2 linked regions of the Lonchura striata genome follow. The protein of the gene in region 2 interacts with the protein of the main gene of each other region in a pairwise test. Links are inferred from orthologs where the notes say so. Each region holds a gene or a part of one and is shown on either strand. Other genes may lie near its edges.

Region 1 (10,399 bases), on a different chromosome or scaffold from region 2:
TCATTAAGAACAATTGTTTTTAACCAATTCATTACGGTAGAACCAAGAGTATCTCAATTCATACTTCCCTACTCTTCAGGATTTTTAGCAAACTGCTGTATAAATGAGAATTCACACAGGGAAAATCCCTTACTTGTTATGAGAAATGCATTATATATTCCTTAATATAGTGCCTGGATATTGCTCTTATACTAGCATATTTGAAGAATTACATCTATTTTACAAAAAAAAAGCATTGTTAATAATCAAATAAGAATTAATCAAATTAAGGTGTGGAAATATTCACCACAAAGATGTGATAACAAATCACAATTTTGAAAAACTGTGCAAATTTTATGTATTTTTTTATTATTTTTCTCCAACTACTTTTCAGATAATCTGTATTAAGACTGAAGTTCTAGATCACTTACAAAAACATGAAAAATATTTTTTGCTTCCTGTACAAACTGACACTTAAGAATGTATTGCTTTCAGTTTCCTTAGACATTTCTTGAGATGAAGTCATCACCCACTGAAGAAAAAACTGTATTTTTTAAATTTTAAGACTGAAATATTTCACTGAATGGGCTTTAGCAAGAATCATGCCTTCTGTAGTTATTATTCTTGTTCTAGCATGTAATTATAATGTCAATATTGCAATCAGCAGTTGAAATGAAATCTGCAACTTCAGAGAAATTTACAGATAAAAAGGAACTTTCTAGTAATGTGCTGAAATACTCTTCTGCCCACTCAGGGGAAGCACTGAACACGTATTCATAGAATCAAGATGTGTGATCTTTAAATGAAAAAATTAAAGACTACAGAAATGTAATTACACCATAGAATTTATGACTCAGCCTTAAAATGCAAAGTGTTTTGAATTAAAAGAGAGACTAAGGCATTTACTTCATTTCCTTTCAGGAGAATCTGATCTTACTTAAGATATAGACAATCCAATCAAAATACTTAACTCATATTTCCTCTTGGATAACATTTCTTTTTGGATTCAGTGTAAATGAGATCAACCAAGAAATCAGACACTCAACCACATGGCAAATCTATTGCATGTACAGGAAATCTCCCCAAACTTCACAGCTCAACAAGCAAAAATGCTGCACAAGTGATGGGTTTTATTCAATTTCCATTCTCCTCTGTCTACAGGTCTCAGCTTTAACTTTTCAGCTTCCTGTAGTCAGGAGTACTGAGGAAGGCACCTGCAGCAATCTGCTGCCTCCACCCTGGGTGCCTCTGTGTGGCAGCTATTCAGTCATATTGATAAAATACTTATCATTAAAATAATTAAGATCAATGGCATACAAAACATGGGGAGAGGAAAAAACCAAAGCAGCTCCCAAACCACTGGGGGACCATGACTATCAAGAAAATATGTGTACTTCACACAACAGCAACACTGCAATGTATTACACAGCAGCAGTTACCACCCCACCCTTCCTGATCAGCGCTTGGCTGCACCAGCCACTACAATCAAAAGAAATAAAAGCAGGATATGCCTTTCAGAAACCCTCCAGGGTGATGCTGGAAAGAATAAATGTGTCTTTAACCTCCCCTCTGAAGAAATTGTGTATCATTGAGCCTAAGTAGGCACCAATCTATATCCCCTAGAAAAATCTGTGGAAAAATGAGAAGTTCACAGGTATTAAGACATGAAAAATGCCAGTAAAATCCTGGCATTTTACAGAAGGACACATGCAATTCTCCTTCACTTAAAGTTTCGTCTAATTCAAAGGTTTTTTTGCAAATATATCCTCCCCTAATCACAATGATGAAAAATGCAAATGATCATGCCAGATAACATAATTAAAAACTTCTGAACCCGAAAGCCAGCAGAGAGGAATACAATGAAGCTGTCAAAATTCAGCCAGGCTTTAAGAGATTCAATAGATAAAATATGGCAAAGGGAGAAAACAGAAAAACACAGCTCATACTGGGACCAGAACAAGCCTTCCAGGCAACTGCCAAAACAGCTATGATAAAACTATCAAACCAAAGTAAAACAAACACATTTTAAATTCTCCCTAACCATAGGTTTACAGGCAGTTCCTCTCATCTGGCAGTGTCAAATCACACACAGTACCTCAGCTTCTGCACGGAAGTTCTCTTGTCTTACAACAAACTATTTTACAGGACAGAGTAGATTCTGATTTACCACTGATTTTAGAAATGTCTCCTTTGTACATTTGTACACAATATTCCAGCTCAAATGTAAGGTTTTGACTGATAAGACTAAAAAGATGAAGTAGGTAAGATGCCTTCCTAATTAAATGTTACCCAACAGCTGTGCTTTTCCTATTGTTTAGTAAATAACATTTGCCAACTTATAAAGCATGAAATGCTACATACTTGAAGCAGAAGAAAGCCACCACCTACTGCAGTTGCTGCAAGCTTTCCGACTTTCTGGAACAAAAATCCCGCACACCTTAGGGGAACAAAACAAAACAAAAAAAAAACCCAGTCTAATGAAGTTTTCTGCTAAACAATGCCACACTACACAATTCCTGACTACAACTATTACCATTATTTCATATAAAAAGCAAATGTATCACTTCATATTTACAAATTTAAAAATCAAGGCTATTTAATTCAAGCAATATTAAATTAACAATGTTTAAAACAATACAATGTGAGTAATGGTTGCCTGTTCCTGGCTGTCTCATGGCCCCTTTAAAGTAACCTTGAGATCCCAAGATCTTACTGCTATTAAATGTAGCATGTTAATAAAGCACAGCATAATTACATAACAGTGCTACTATAACTGTTCCCAAGTGGAATGTAAATATATTATACTGTAATTTATATTAACTACACAACTCATAACTGAAATATCTCAGTAAAAAGCAGCACATTCCTATCACAAGAGTTAAACTCAGTGAGGGCACTCTGCTGGGACATGGTGTTAAGTCTATTTTTAATGGATCAAGGCAACCAGAAAATTACCTTGTTCTCAGGCTCCAAACCTCCCTCATCAAATGGAGAACAGATATGGATATCACAGAACAATGACAAGGCAGGAAGGGGCCTCTGGAGGTCACCTGGGCCAGTCACCTTCCCAAAACTGCTGCAGAGCCCAATCCAATCTCAAAGCTGGATCGGGCTGCCAAGAGCCCTGACTCAGACATGAGTTTCCAAGGCTGATGGTTCCACAACTTCCCTGGGCAATTCCAGTGTGTCTAAACACTGGCTCACATGCAGAGGGGAATTTTTTCCCGCTGCATATAAATAGTGAATTGTCATTTATATACATCAGTAGGCAGCCAGAGAGATGTGCATCTACAGATACTGAAATGTGCATTTTCCAGATCATTCAATAAGCCAGTTTTTATGGATGCCAGATGAACTATTCCCTAGAAACATCTGAGTTTACACGTACACATATAACTTTTTAAAATAACTCTAAGGCTACAGAAGCAAATAAAAAATTCTGACTGAAAGCTAAACCCACACCACAAAGCTGTACTGAGCTGGGTACAATAATTTCATTTTTAGTTTATTTCATCTTCTAATCCTTGCATAATCCCTCTTTAAAAGTCACTTTGCTACTATAATGGTGTTTTTCAATGAATTTACAGTTTTTCTGTGTACTGGAGTAGACAAATACCATTCAAATACCTCTGACAAATAACAAATACCTTGACACAGCTGCTCAGGCTGTGACCACATTTTCCAGTTTAAGTTCTCATCCTGACTGTCTAGCTTTCACCATGAATTATTCTAGTATAACTAGGCTATGTATCAGTTAACATCACAGTAAACTGTGAATTTGCTCAACATGGCTGCAGCTCAATTTAGAAGAAAAAAAGTCTCCAGGAAATGAGGCTCTTAATTAAAAGTACATTTTGCCATCCTTTTTTCCTTCCTTCATTTCTTTTACCTGTAAATATGTCTCAGCCATAATATAACTAAGTTTCTAAATCTAGATAAGGAAGTATGCTCTTCCATACAGAGTAAAAGCTACATGTAGTAATTTTCCATTTATTTCTTGTCATTTTAGAGCTCTGACATTTTCCCAAATCTTTTCCACAGTAACTAGTATGAGTTCCCTTGGATAACTCATGTTTCACCACTATTAAAAAACACTTCATAATGAGTCAGAGTAACAAGCTAAAATTGTTCACACATGAACAATCTTGATCAATGCTAAAGGAAATCCCATTAAACATGTATTTATCTGCTTTCAAATACCCTTGGAAATGGATCTCCTAACAAAGTAAAATGTCTAGGCCAGTTATGGAAAGGGAAGCTCCCTCACCAGCCAGTCACACCTCCCATCACAATCTGTGTGGCTACAGAGTATTTTTCTACAATTGGTCCTGAATTCCGGCCAAACAAGCGGTTCCACCAATGGTGACGTCGAGCATATTCTGTTAAATCCAGCACTTCGTAGGAATCGTCGTCACTGTCGTGGTCTGAAATAGAAAAAGCAATTTTTAAACATGTTATCTTCTCAGTTATAGAGTAAATTAACAAGTTATGTGAAAGTCCCAGACTCAGTTTGGGCATTAACCGGGTAATCCAATGGTTTCAACTGTAATGTACAAGTTATGGTCCAGCAGCTCCCAGAACAAAGGATTTGGGGATTCTATGCCATCACCAAGGTAAGGTGTAGAAGGCTACAGCAGTGGTATAATCAATAAAATCCACGCCTGGCACTGCAAAGGTGAACAAGAATCCCCTGCCTGTTCAAGAGACATCCGATAAAACTACCAGTCATCTCATTCACCACAAACAAAAAAACCCAACAAAAACCAAAGGGACAGACCAACATTTGGAAAGATTAAGAACTTCTGGCCCAGTGCTCTCCTCAGAGGACCAGGCATCAGCATTTGCCAGGAAGCGACTTCTGTTCCTTTTCCAGTGAAACAGATGACACAGGGACTTCAGTTAGGTTCCATGTTTTCAGGACAATTCTGTCAATGTTTTCAAAACAGGCATCCTACAATTTCAAATTAAGAGATCCTCAACACTGTGTATACTCAAGCATCAGAGGAAAGAGATGGGTCTAGATTTTTAAAGAAAAATATTTTAAAAGTGTATCACAGTCTGTGACATACACACATGAACTGAAGTCCACTTTGATTAAATATATTTAAGGTTAAATCTAAATTCAGCACTATGGGTAGGACATTCCAGAAGAAGTTAAATTTTTACCTAGAATTAAAGCAAGACTGTAAATATAAACATTTTATTAAAATTTTGACAGTTTTTTAACTTGTACTACCAGTATGGGTAAAAGCTTCAAAGACTGCAAGAAGTACATATATAGGTGGGCATTATTTCTCTTTATTACCATATGTCCTTGAGTACTAAGTAATAAATAGTGAGACCTATAATGCTAAAAAATTGATATTGAATGTTCTTTCTTTGCAGTACTGAGGACAACTTGTTTAACTTCTTTGGATGGAGAATATTAAAACACTGTCATGAACAGTCACAATAATTCCGCCCTTAAATTATTATTATTTAAACCAGAACTAGTGTACACATCCATAACACGCTCTGTGGCAAATAACTGCCAGAGCGTTTTCTACCGATGAAAAATCCTCCTGCATGCGACAAATGATGTTCCGCACACTGCCCAAGCACACGGAACGTGCCAGTGCCGAAAGGCGCCGCAGGACGAGGCCACAGCGATGCCCGGAGAGCCCCGCGCGGGGAAGGATGCGGCGGCCATGGGGGCTGGAGCCTCCGGTCCCGCATCCCCCCGGCACCTCCGGCTCCGTGAGGGCTCGGCCGGCCCTCATTCTGCCCGCGGGCCTGCCTAGAAGGGGTTTGGCTGGTTAAATCCCGGGAACGAGCTTTAGCCCGGGTGATGCCAGGAGCGCCGGGGCCGATGCGCCGGGCCGCGCGGTGGAGGGGGGGACACGCAACGGACAAGGGAGGCGCAGAGCCCGGGCCATCCCTCCCCGCCCCCGGGACGCAGCGGGAGGGGGCTGCCCGCCGCCCCCGAGAGGAGGAAGGGCGCCCGCCGCGCCGCCTCCTCCGCGCTCCCGTCAGGAAGGGGCCAGCACTGACCTGAGGCGGAGCGGGGCCGCCGCGCCGCCATGTTGGCCGGTGCTGAGGCGGCGAGCGGCCGCCCCGCTGCGCCCCCAGCGGCCGCTCGCGCCCCGCCCCGCCGCGGTGCCGCCCCCTCGCGGCCGCGCCGCGCATGCGCCTCCCGCTCCCCTCACCCCGGGGAGTCCCTGAGGGGGAGGCTGCGGGAAGGGGCGCGGGCTGCGCGGTGGGAATAGTGGCGTATCCCGAGCTGGAGAGGACCCGCGGGGATCAGCGAATCCAGCTGGCTGCCCTGCGCAAGGCACCGCAAGAATCCTGCCGTGTGCCTCAGTTATCCCGACGCTTCTTGAGCTCTGCCGGGCTGGTGCTGTGACCACTGCCCTGGGGAGCCTGTTCCACTGCCCAGCGAACCCGCTGGAGGAAGAATCTTTTCCTAATATCCAACCTAAACCTGCCCTGACACAGCTTCAGGGCATTCCCTCGGGATGTGTCACCGTCATCACAGAGTGATGATCAGTGCCTGCCCCTCCTCTCCCCTCACAAGGAATTTGTGACTGCACTGAGGTCTCCCCTCAGTCTCCTCCAGGCTGGACAGACCAAGCGCCCTCAGCTGCTCCTCACACGCTTCCCCTCAAGGCCTTCCACCATCTTCGTTGCCCTCTTTTGGGCTCTCTCCAACAGTTCACTGTGTTTCTTGTATTGTGGTCCTCAAAACAGCACACGATATTCAAGCCTGTGCCTTGAGGGGCTCATTGATGCCAGTGGTGGGGGTAAGAACCCCAAAACCTTCTCAATATCTCCCAGTGGCTGCAGGCATGGCTGGACAGCAGCTGCGTGCCACGAGCCCCATAAAAATTAATAACCAGAAAAAACCAAACACAAGGCCCCTCAAAGTACAAAGGTTAAAGCCAATGTGAGCTGTGAAACATTGGAAAAAACTAAATTTGAGCCCTGGTGTGCTTGCTCCTTCAATGCGTTGGTGGGGTTTCAATGGGCTAAAAGCCACATAATTGTATTTTAGGACTGTTTTTTTAAATGTATGCAGCCGCCACGGAGGTGGCTGACACAGTAAGTGCACCTTTAGGAGCTTTATTGCAATATGAATGAAGAAAACATCAAGGAACTTAATTTATAAATAATAAAATTGAAAACAAATTATTTAAAAGTGTTTACAGCTTCTCACTTGGACTCTTACACTGTCAATACACAAAGCAGGTAATTATAATGAATAAAATCCACTTTTCTGTATGTCATAAAGCTATTTTTATGGAGTAAGCATTTAGGATTTTAATTAAACCCCTTAATTACACCAGCCTTTACAGACATACCAGAAGAGGGAAGAATGTATCTTCCACGAGAAAGTCCTTCTGTAGTCTGCTCTGAAACTGAAATTAGCATATAAAACTTGAAATTAGTGTATAAAGTGGTTGTTTGCTTATTAAATTATTTTTATTACAAACATTTGCCATTGTGATAATTAGGTGACAGCATGCCAGACAGAACTGGTAATATATTGCTTTCTCTAAGGTTTTCAACAGATACATTCCTATAAGGAACAAACAGATTTGTCTCTTATGATTTGTTTTGACAAACACTGTGCATCTTGGGAGTTTTCTTGTTTAAGCATAAAATTGGTGGGTTTGGTATTCCCTTCCCAGTCAGTAAAAAAGTGCTTGTTGACATTTCCCAGTCAGATGCCAGTAAGGTAAGAGAGGTGACCAGAGAGTTTTGCTCACGTTGTGTGAGCCTGGCTATTTTTGTACCTTTTGTAGCTTGAATTCTTAATATTTGGCTTCCCTATTTTTAACTACTATCAGTTAAAAAATAGCAGCACTTCTGTGCAAACAATTATATTAATTTCCTTTCAGAACAGGGAGGTTTGTATAATTAGCACTTTTAAAAGATTAACATTAGTAGCTGCATCATGTACTACCTGCGAATTCTGTTTGCTTCCTTTTGCACCCCTCTTGCCAAGTCAGGGTGGTGTGAGTGGCAGGGAAGGAGTTTAGGAAAGACCCAGGGAAAGCCCTTTGGCAGGTTTCGGGTTGTGTTGTCTCTGTTCTGGGATCAGGATGCACCCCAAGGCGTTTCCCAGTGGGTTCCAGTTGGATGGACACCACAGTAGGATGCAGTGGTGCTCCCAGTATCTGCCTGGGATCTGCAGGCACTGCCTGGGGGATTGGCTCAATGCTTGCACAGAAAATGATGTCAGGATTGTTCTTGCTCCCAGCAAAATCCGTACCCTGTGCAGAGACAGCAAACCTCGTGGCTCCAGAGACCAAGAATAACTGGCAGAGCTTTTACCAGCCCCACTGTGATGTATAAAATTCCCCAAGCCCATTCAAATCTCTTGCACCCTGATGCTTCCTTCAAGCTATTAATGGCAGATTCTGACAGATTTTCCAAGGAAAGGTAGACAATTTAAACTCAGGCCACATTTTGGCTTCACCCTTAAAGGTTCTTCAGGAACAAAGTGTTTTCCTGTATCATCAGAAGGACTGCGCAGAAAAACTGCTCTCTTTGCTCTGTAAATGCTACCTACAAGTTCAGGCTGTGCAGCCACCCTCTGTACCTTATAGCTGTGACAAGCATGTTCAGGGTCACAGCTTGCAATGGAACATACATGGCACACACGTACCTTACAAATAATAAAAAACTCCACACTAAGCAACCAAAAACCCCCAAATGCCCCAAAACCCCAAAAAGCAGAAGAGAGACCCCCAATCATCAAATGCCTGTGCGACTCTAATCCTAGCAGCTTTGTGCTGCTGACCAGAATTCCAAACTGGAACATACATCCTTTAATTTTTTACCACCTTGCATGATTAATTATAGAAACTAAAGGCAACACACACTGCCAGCCCTCTCCACTAGGCCTTGCTTGTGAGTGAAACTTATGTTCTCCACAGGCTTAATCTAGTAAATGCAGTCAGAATAACCTGGCAATAAAGGTATTGGAGTGAATGGATGATTCCTTTTTAACAACCCTATGTGAACATGCTGTTATTCAAAGCTCTGTTGGCTGGAAAATGGCAGAGAAATGTCTGGGAAGGGATTTGGGTTCTAAGTCCATCAAGATCCTGGGCAAGGGCTGTTGTGGAGCAATAACCTGGACTGTTAATGCAGTAGGAAGCTCCATGGCTTCCTGACAAAGAGCAGTGCAGGGGCAGGCACTGATCTCTTCTCCATGGTGACCAGGGACAGGAATTGTGGGAATGTCATGAAGCTGCATCAGGGGAGCTTTAGTTTGGATGTCAGGAAGAGATTTTTCCCCCAGAGGGTTGTTGGGTACTGGAATAGGTTCCCCAGGGCTGTGGTCACAGCTCCAAGCCTGACAGAGCTCAAGCAGCATTTGAACAATGCTCTCAGGCACATGGTTGGATTCTTGTGGATGGGCCAGGAGCTGGATTTTGATGATCCTTGTGGGTCCCTTCCAATTCAGGATATTCCATGATTCTATGATGTTAAAATGAAGATAATATTCCCTGTAATTATGACATTAACAAATACACATCCTTGTGTCTCCTGCCATCTCCATGTGAAATTTTGGATGGCTTGCTTGTATTGCTTGCCTTCAACCTTCCTTTGTCACTTTTCTTTGTAAAATGTTTGTTGCGAGGTTCAACAAAATTTAATTATGAAAATTTTTTTCTTGTTTGTGAACATAATTAAATTCTGCTTTTCAGTTTTGTAGTACTCTAATTTGATAACAGCCTCCTTTATCTTAGAATCACAGAAAAATTTTGGTCAGAAAAGAGCTTTAACACTATTGAGTCCAACCATAAATCTTAATTCATTTATCCTAATGAAATTTAAGTTATAAATTCCCACCACAATCCATGTATAAGTGGAGGAGAAATGTCCAAAGAAAGATATGTCTATTGTCTCCATTAACTAACACGAGTTTAAATAGTCTCTTGCTGAAGAATTCAACTGATACAAAAAGAAAAACCAAGTTTAGTGTGCTGTGGAAGGTGTTTAAACAGGTAACAACCAAAGACATCACCCAGGTAAGGTGTACCACAGCACTTATTAAACAAAACTGATGGTTAGTGTCAGGTCAGGCTGCAGCAGGACACATTCCCATGACCCTCGTCTGGAAAAGTAAGGAAATAAAAATAAGAAGTTAAGGGGGGGATTGATCTTTCCTGTTCATTTTGTTTACTGTATTGATAATAAGGCAAGCTGATTATCCATTAATCTTTTGATCTCAGCTCTGATGAGTTACCAGGCTTGGGCTGCAGCACAGAGCTCTGACCGTGACCTCCTGCTATTGTGTGAATCCCATGTATGCATTGGGATGGTCGGTGCTCCTTGCCTGTGGAAAAACGCTGGGATCACGGCCAGAAGGGAGCTGAGCTTGTGGCAGAGCACTCCTGGGGCAGAGCTGAGCTCATCATTCCTTTAGGAT
Region 2 (9,637 bases):
GGTTGAGAATCTCAGAACTTTTAGCCCAGATACTTTATTTCACTTCTGAAGTTTGTACGCACCATCAAAATGTTTGCCTGAACTATGGGCAAACATTTGGAACATGAACACCATCCTCCACTCTGACCCTTCTTTTCGACAGGGGCTGTCAGTCCTGGGAAGCATACCTGAGGACTGACTGCATTTATACTCCATAATTCACAAAATGAATAAAATACTACTACTGCCTTGGGTTTGCAACACTACAGAGTGCTCTGAGCATGTGCAAAGGAACTTAACCCTACTAAATGAAACTCCTCCAATATGAAGACTGAGTTTAAACATGTGATTAATGCCACAAAAGCCTCCTGAAAGTTTCTCCAAAACAAATTTAAAGGCCGTGATCTACAAAGATTTACTGATGTGGGTGTGTTTACTCAACTTCACTGTCAATGGAACCAAACAAAGTTATTCATTCTTGTAAGCCTCATCTAGATAATCCTAAAATTTCAACTAAAAGGGTTCATCACTTCTGAAGAATCATTTCTTTCTCCCAGACTTCTCTAGACTTCTGGTGTGAAGAAAACCATAGAAACATCTTAAGCCATAGAAGTTTTTCATCTCCCTGAAGTGACAAGTTGAAAGACAAGTTATTTGATGTTCAGGATCACCAACAGAATTCAAAATTTACATAAACATTTAAGATACAGGTGTAGTCATTATTGATATTTATTAAAGTCTCATGTTACAGTACTATACAAGTATTTCCCTTCCAAAAATACAAAGATAAAATACAGCCCGGTTAGCAAAAAAAGTTATCCAATTGCCTACTCAACAACACTCAAAGTGTTCAAGAGAAGCTAAAATACAAATTATTCCAGTCCAAGGTTTGACTTCCTCAGCATTCTCCAACTGTGCTCTATAACATTACCTAATACTGCAGACAAGAAAAATCAAAACAAAACCCCAGCCTTGGCCACAACAGTCAGAGCCTTAAAAGCTGTCTGTGATGATCTCTACAACAGTAGCCCACTGAGCTGTGAGGCTCGGATACCAGCCAGGGCTAGCCAGAAGTCCAGCTCGAAGGCTTGATTTCAGCTGTGCATGGCTTTGGTCCACTGACTTACAGGACACAGCATGAAACACAGTGCTCTATGCAGTGCCTATCCAAAATGACAACAGAGAACATTTCCTATCCTTTTTCCAGCTACCCTTTACATGTTCAAAGAATATGTGTTTAAAAGGAACAAAATTCATACATAAGTAATAGTGTTGACTTACTCAATTTCTGGCATTAAAGTTACTATCATCTTGATCTCTGATCCTGCAATCAGCCATGCATGTTAATGTTACCTAAGGGTGCAGCCCCTTCATTTCAATAACTGGCAATTACTTTGGTGCCAGTTTCTCTTTTGATGCACCAGCACCATCAAGGATAAATCCCCGTAACTGCAAAAGGCAGTAAGAACAATCTCTTATAATCTAAAATTAAACCTGTCCTACAATTAGTTGACCGCATCTTTTCAATATTACATTTTCCCTACTAAACTAAGCATACACATGGGAAGTTGTCTAGGTTTACCTTCAAAATCTGGCAATTGGTGATACAATCTGGAACCCTACAGCTCTAATAATTGGTGTGAATGCAGCCAGGGACTAGTGATTGAAGGAAGTTCCCATATGGCAATCGTAAAGCAGTATTTTAAAAAATTATAAAAAATATTATCACATCATAAAATCCATCAGTATATAACAGCCTCCGACTGGCACTCTCAAGGTGAACAGAAATTAAATAAATCCTGAGACTGAGTTACCTACTCATACTTGGAGGTGGCTCCTCCAAGACAAAAACTAACCCATTCTGTTGCGGTAGTTAGAGAAACTGCAGTTCTTCCTCACGGATCAATCTATTCCATTAACAGGCACAGGACTTTCAGTACTAGAAGCCTGAAACCTTTCAGGAGGACCTCACAGAAACCACAGGCTGTGTACATATGCACAGAACGTGTCCTACCTGAAAATGGCTGCTTGATGCAACACAGCAGAATAAGGACGTGTTCCTAAAGTCATTTTTGTGTTAGTACTGACACCAATTTTTAAATTAACATCAAGGTACCTCGCTCAAACTGTGATCAAACTATGTGGCAAAACAGCTGGATGCAACTAGGGGATATGAATGAAAGAACATTTTTCTTGTAACTAATTTTTTGAACACAAGGAATTATCTATTGAAAATGTACAGCTTTTGTCCGCAGGTAGTGCATATGGAAAAGTAAAACCATGCAGCCAGGTTGTTCAAAAAGTAAACTTTGACCACATAATCTGACGTGTGCTACACTGCAGGCTTTTGCATCGCTGTCACATGATGGCCATGATTTATCAGACTGAACAGAGCGACAATTTCGCTCTTCAGGGGCTGCAGAAGTGCACAAAGCTCAAAATAAAGAGCATTTCTTTGGTGCAGAAGACTAGTTCTCTGCTCTGTTGCATGAATATTGATAAAAACCCCTATAATGTGAAGTTTTTCAGTAATTCTGCTACACAGTATGCAGCACACCAAAAATGTATTATTTTCCCTGCTATTTCGAAATAATGCAGCAATTTAAGTATACTTTCAATTCCACTCATTTGTTTTGTACCCAAAGAACGGTTGTTGAGTAACAAGTATTTCTTTGAAAATCTCTCACTGTAATACAAAATACAGATTAAAGCTACCTTGGGTTCACCAGTTTCATTCCAGATAGAATGGTACCAGGGTTCAGTTATTAAATAACTATTGAAAACTGAACCAGTAGCTCTGCAAGCAGCAAAAACAGGGAGGCCCCATTTCCTGCAGCAATTTCCAGCTTGAGGTAAGCGTTGCCATGAACTCTCTGGTGTGCAGGTTAAAAGCACCGTTCTACCCAGCTTCCTTACTTCCAGAAATTTTGTAGCAACAGCCCACCTGGGAGACCTCTGCTGCCAAATTTATTTGAACACTTCTAAAAGCCAAAAGAGTTATTAGAGGGACTGAAGGCACAGAGAAATTATAGCTTTATTTGAGCTGCACCTGTTAAAGGAATCAAGCTAACAAAGCACATGGAATAATTAATTACTGGCAATTGCTGCTACTAACTACTGCCACACCTGGTACACAGGATCTTTTTCTTCGAAATTCAGCAGGAGCACAGTGCCCATGCTGCTGTCCCTGTTGCCATCACAGATGCTACCTTGTCCCAAAATTAACCACAACACCCTGGCTGTGCAGAACACACACCAAGTCTCCACTCTATGCTTACGCTCACTAGGAACCTCCTACAACTGAATTTACAGATACACAACAGAAATAAGAGTGGAAGTGCAAGGTTTTATTGTTTGGAAAGGAAACATTCTTACTTCTGCGAAGCCAACAAAAACATGGTTATGGCTGGGCTATACCTACAAACAGAGGTACTGCAAAGGTAACTGACAAGGCAATTCTATCCATCTTCAACACTTACTTTCCAAAAAGGAAAGAAAAAGACTCTGAAGTAAACTTTTGTATCTGCTTTCTGACTTAAGATCAATTTCATTTGCAAAACTTGCCTGAAATATCACTCAGTTATCTATGAATTAAATTAAGTGAAAACCAATACACTTTCTTTGTCAACACACTCCAAGCTTCAAGACTGGTTTTGGAACATTCTGCCACTTTAGGTAAATCCAAAGATCTAATTTTTAATTAATGACTGGCCTCTGCCTAGGGTTAAATCCAGCAGGTACATCTGAATACACCTTTATTATACGAGCTTCGGAAATATTTCTGTCCTAGTTTCCCCAGTGCCAAGTGGACCATACCCACATGCATACAAGACACACAGAAGCCCATATATTAATAAAATAAATAACTGTATCATAAACTTCACATATTTGTAAAAATGAAAATTGGAGAAGTCACACTAGCCCTTGGTCTGAGCACACAACTTTAAGCACATAAAGCCTGCGGGTCCACAGAGAGCAGAAAGTTATGTGCAGACTCCGCAGGAACAGGGGCCTGTGTGTGCCCAACACATTTTTTTCCTTAAAACTGTAAGGAAGACAAGAAGCCCTGATGAAGTGTGATGATTGAACATTTAAATTAATGACTCAGAAATGTACGGCGGTCATGTTCCAGGCTCGATAATAGGATATAAACCAGAACAGTGGAGCGGGGGGAAGAAAAATTAATAGAATATAAAACCACGCAGGCCAAGCTACGGGCGACTCCTGAGTTTTGCCCTTTTACATCCTCCGGCCCCGCGCCGGGAGCGGAGCCGGGAGCGGCTCACGCCGAGCACCAGCCCGGGCGGTGCGCGCCGCCTCCGCCGGGGGACGAGCAGCGCCCGGGGCAGGGGCCGGGAGGGGGCCCGGCCAAGGAGGGGTCACGGCCCTCCCCCGCTAAACTTGCTCCCGCAGCCCGCCCAGCCCAGCGCGGCTCCCGCCCGCCCGACCCCTCGGCCCCGCGGGCAGGGGCTCGGGCCCGGCAGAAAGTTGCCGAGAAAGTTTCTGCAGAGAAGGGCCCGGGGTGCGGGACGCCCCCCGGCCCCGGGGCGCGGCGGCGGGGCGAGGCCGGGGGCGGCGGCCGGGGCCTAGCGCCTCCATCGCCGCCGCCATCGCGGCCGCCGCTCCCGTGGGGCGGCGGAGCGGGGACGCGGCCGGGGCCTCACCTGCCTCTCCTCGGCGTGGCGGGTGGGAGAAGGAGGGGGGGAGGGAAGGAAGCGGGGGCCCCCCCGCTCCTCCCGGAGCCGCGGCGACCCGGGGAGGGAAGCGGGGAGGAGGGGAAGGGAGGAGGGACGAGGAGGAGGGCGCCGAGCGCTCCGGTGCGTGCGGGGAGCTGGAGCCTCGCTGCGGGAGGAGGAGGAGGAGACTCCCCGCCCCTATGGCCGGGATCTCCGGTGGGCACCGCGGCCCCTCCCCCGCACCGCGTTTCCCTCCATGCGCTCCGGGTCGGAATCGCCGCGCCTCCCGGCCGGGGCAGCGCCTCCGCGGCCGAACCGGAGGCCGCGGGGAGGAGCCGGGCGGCCCCCGCGGAGCCGGGCTGGCGGCGGCGGTCCCTCCTCCGCGCCGCCGCGCACCGAGACAACATGGTGGAGACGTGCGGCGCGGCGCGGGGGCGGCGGGAGGGAGCCGGGGCTTGCCCTGCCCCCCGGCTCGCCCGAGGGCGGCCGCCTACTCCCGGCCGTGGGTCGCGGGGACCCCGGTGGGGGTAGATCCTCCCGCCGTGCTGTGCCGTGCCGGGCCGGGCTGGTGAGCCTCTCTTGCCAGAGAAGCTGAACGCGAGAGATTCCGGCAGCGGAGCCCTTCGGCGTGGTGCGGGAAAAGCAAACAAAATAACTTTTAAAACTCCTCGCCTAGGCATCTTCAGGTGGGCCACGGCTTAGGCTCGGTACGTTTAGTTTCCTGTGGGTGAAGCAGAAGCAAGGCGGCTCTCCGGCAGTGCGGGTGCTGCAGCGGCCGGCCGGCAGCTCGGGAATGCCCAGGGCGGCGCCGCGGAACAGACCGGTCGCAGAACACCGAGCAAAGAACGAGCCTGTAAATTACGCATCAGTAACTCCGGGGAATTCCACGTTACGGGTTTCCTTCCCACTCATCGCCGTTCCTTAAGTCAGTGTTTCGTATTTTAAGAAATAAAAACTTGGATTTGTGTCAAGGTGGGCTTCCTGGAGAAAGGTGGTTCAAATGCATCTAGCCTTCAGAACTGCAGACTGCAGGAAAGAGTGAAAGAACATTTAAAAAATGAACCTAAAAAGCCAAAGTTTATGTGGGCAAATTGTCATTTCTCATTCAGCATTATCTTTTATTGTTTCCAGCTCTTTAGTAGTTAAATTTATATCTCTCCCCGCTTTATTTTCTTTAAAGGCTGATCAGAAAACAGTAGTTGTGTTGATCACTAATGATAACCTAATATAGTTTGTTCTTAAGAAAAAGAATTGAGTCAGGATGTCCAGTTTATTTTGCAGGCAATGCTGCAGAGTAAAGCCATTTGTGCTTTTTAATTTCAGATAAAGAAAATACATGTATTTGCTTTTAGAGGACCATAGATACATTTAAACTGTTAACAGAGTACAAAAAAACCAAAAGTGTTCTAGATTTGGAGACTCAATAACATAAATTGTTCTCATGTGACCCTCTTAGGGTCTTGGAATTCATCATATTCTGTTCAGTCTGAAATCTAACTCACATTATATAGAATTGATTTTTAATTTAAACAGCAATTTTAAGTTTTAAAAATTGACCTTGGCAATGAATTACTTAACAGTTTGCAGATTGGTTGAAGCTCTAAGTCGGTTATGACTTCAAAACTCCAACTGGGCTTATGGTAGTCTTGAGTGAAAGCAAAGTTTGAACTCCAGTATCATTTGTGGGGTTTTGTATACACAGGCAAGTGTTGCTGATTGGTTAATTTTACAGCACAATGGTAAAACTTGCATATCTGAAAAACATGAGACTTAGTTGTGTTATCATCTTCATGATGTTTTAAAATTACCCACTTAAGCAATTTTGCAGCATTGGGCTAGAGCTTCATCGTTAGAGACACACTGGCTCTTGCCAGCTGTCGCTGTAATTTGACGTCTGGGTTTCAGGTTCGGTGTTGATGGATGGGATTATACAGTAGTCCTTTCTCACGGCACCTGGCAATGCCCGTGTGGTACCGAAAGGTTTGTTGGGATTCTCAGTTCATCACACCGCTCCTGTTGCTTTCTGTCGTGAAGATCAATGTAAGAAATTATTTGGTGAGGTTTTGAAAGGCTGAGTTATGAACTGTGTCCTCAGTTCACTGTCTTATGTGTATGTGTACTATTAGCTGCCACAGAGAGTACTGGGGCTGCACCAGTGATTGACTCGGTCGGTAGTGGAGAGACTGTCACGCTTAATTTTAAGCACAGCGTGATTAAAATAGCAGAGCAGTTGGGGAGAAGACGAGCTGACCAGTCCCATAGTTGAGAGCAAGCTCAGACTCACACCATATGGGTGTGAAAGAATAGATGAGGGTTTGAGTCGGGAGTCTTGGAGGCTAGACATGGTTTCATTGCAGTGGAAAAACTGTTTGCTTCTTAAATTGTCATGCACTTGTCACTGATAGTCTGAGTGTTCCTTAGAGTATTCCTTTTATAACGAAGTGTTCAACAAGTGACTTAAAATGATCAAACTGTTGTAGTTCAGCCTGATTAATCCTGCACAGGATGGGACTTGGAGTGTCATTGCCACCTTTTGCCTGCCAGTCAGGCAGTCTGCCACATGATACCTGGCTAAAGCTCCCTTTCCGTGGCTGTTCCTGAGTGGGCTCTCAAATATGTTGCAGTGCAGGTGGATTGATACTGCTTGGTATTCACTCAGAAGACTGAGTGGATCAGCCAAAACTACCACAAGTCAGGCAAGGCCAGTGCCTACTTCTAGGAATTTCCCCTCTCTTTCATTCTTTTGTTTTAAATTAATTTTTTTGACCTTGTGGGAGAAGGAGGAGGGAGGAGCTGCCCTCAAATGCTTTAGCATGACTGGAGTATAGTGTAAGAAGCTACTGATGCAGGGGTTCATTGCTGCCATTTGCTGAACACAGTTTGCCAAATCAAATAGCCCATCAGACAGGCTCAGCATTCACTAACTCTTTTGTTTGTTGCATGGTTGGCTGGGGTTAACTTAATCTTGAAGATTTATGCAAATAGCTGATGTTTAGGAAGGCATTCTCTATGTACTATCTTTGGAAATTCTCATATATTTGAACTTTCTAAAATGGTAATTTATACTTACACAATCCTTAATGTGTTTGAGTAATTTGAAAAAATCCCCAAAAATGTATGATAGAGTCAAGGACATATTATGCTAAATAAAGTATATTTCGGGTGACATGGAGAAATACAGGTGTAGGAGCAGAAAGAAGGAGGAACAGAGGAATAGAGATGGAGACAGGCAGACTAAAATATTTCAAACACTGATGTGGGTTCAGTGGTTTGTAATTGGGGCATACAGGACTTGCATCCTGATATATTGAAGGAGATGGACAGATTGATTCTCTGAAGAGTTTTGCCAGTACATGCCAAAAGTTAATCTATGGTACATGTGGTAGTAACCTGAAAATATCAACACATTCTTGAAAACACTTTGTGGGATTGATTTCTAACAATTCAGAGGTAAATTAAAAAAACATTACAGTGGTTTATGGACAAATAATTTTTTCTTTTGAAAGGAATCAAAAAAATTCTGGACCTAAATTAATTCCCTCTTTTTGAGGAATAACTGAGGTAGTCAAGGCCTCATCCAAGCTATTTGCTCTTGGAAAGTGTGGAAAACAATGGTATTTTATAGCAGTACCTCCCAAAATTCATGTGCAAAGTTCCCATTGTTCATTGTACTGTGTGATCATACTACAAAAAAGCAGTTCATCTTGGAAGTAGTATTAGTCACTTGCTTACTTTGAAGCTCTTGGATCATTATTTTAAGAACATGGTGTTTAGCAAAACATAGATATTTCTTTTTAATCCCAAATACATTTCTTTTGAATCTGAATATTCTAAGCATTAGTCGAATAAGTGCATAGTTTTTGTGATGTTAATTTCTATTTAATATTCCAGAAGCTATTAATAAAATCATTGATGTTTAAAACTGAAACATCTTCCTTGGATATAATGCAAATTGCATCCCAGTATAGTAGTTCAGTAAGGAAACGGAGTGCTAAGTCACTGTCTGGTTGATCTGTAATTATTTCCTATTCTGAAGCAAGTATCCTATTTTAGCCTCATGTTAAACTTGTCCCATTTTGCCTTAAAATGTATCTGCATCTCCAAATGGCCAGATCTTTGTGTTTGATGCTCACATCTATTTGCAAGATTAAATATTCCGTTCTTTCTCAAATATCACTTCTGTTTGATCTTGCATAGCATGTCTAATTATATATGTATATTATACTTCTAGCAAGTATGTGGAGGGTTCTTTTTGAAAAACATTGCTTCAAATATTGTTTTTTGAACTTACTAGAAGTTATGCTTAAAAGCATGTTAGAGTTCAAAAACCCTGTCTTCCCAAACCTGTTGCTATTTACATTTGTGTCACATCCAGTTACATCAGACACACTGGATTACATTGTATAATGAAAGCCGTATTGCTGTACTCTAATCTTTATCTCTTTATATCGGATCTCCTTTGAATTGCACATGAGTATTGCTTATGGTTACTTAAAATAACTACTGCTTTTGTTTCAAGGGCAGTGCTATATATGATGAACACTTAACACTCAACCCTGCTTGGGCAGCAACTTCACATCCTGTGTCTTTGGTTCTTGCATGATTTAATTGGGAAGATTGCACACAGTCTTTTTTTATTTTTTCATTTAAATTTCATAGTTGAAGAATCTGAAACCTGTGAAATCATACATGTTCAGAAAAAAATAATATATTTACCTGTGCAACTGTGCAGATAATTCTGAGAGATTTGGAATGTATGCCTTCCTCCTCACAAAGCAGGTTATATACTCTTAGGGAGAGTGGAAAAGGACAAAGAGTAGGAGGAAAATAAGTTTGTGCACTAAAGCTGACCTGAACTGGGGTTGGTTCTGACATCACTGCCAGAGTAATTCATAGCCTTTAAGAGACTTCTGACCTCATTTGATAGGCAGTACAAAGAAGCAATTTCTGCTGGCTTTGGGAGACTTGCACATGTACATACT

Evidence for each region.
Region 1: the proteins of YES1 (region 2) and FUNDC1 interact in binary tests that used the Homo sapiens proteins (3 or more experiments, as listed by UniProt). The two-hybrid records come from large-scale screens. The link is inferred for Lonchura striata from reciprocal best matches to the Homo sapiens genes YES1 and FUNDC1.

Annotation. Positions count from the first base shown.
Region 1 is NC_134604.1:110,765,784-110,776,182, forward strand, and holds the start of FUNDC1 (FUN14 domain-containing protein 1), read right to left. Parts: upstream 4,952-10,399; 5' UTR 4,821-4,951; coding exon 4,757-4,820; intron 4,404-4,756; coding exon 4,247-4,403; intron 2,417-4,246; coding exon 2,341-2,416; intron 1-2,340. UniProt on the Homo sapiens protein: Integral mitochondrial outer-membrane protein that mediates the formation of mitochondria-associated endoplasmic reticulum membranes (MAMs).
Region 2 is NC_134603.1:48,347,361-48,356,997, forward strand, and holds the start of YES1 (tyrosine-protein kinase Yes), read right to left. Parts: upstream 4,759-9,637; 5' UTR 4,644-4,758; intron 1-4,643. UniProt on the Homo sapiens protein: Non-receptor protein tyrosine kinase that is involved in the regulation of cell growth and survival, apoptosis, cell-cell adhesion, cytoskeleton remodeling, and differentiation.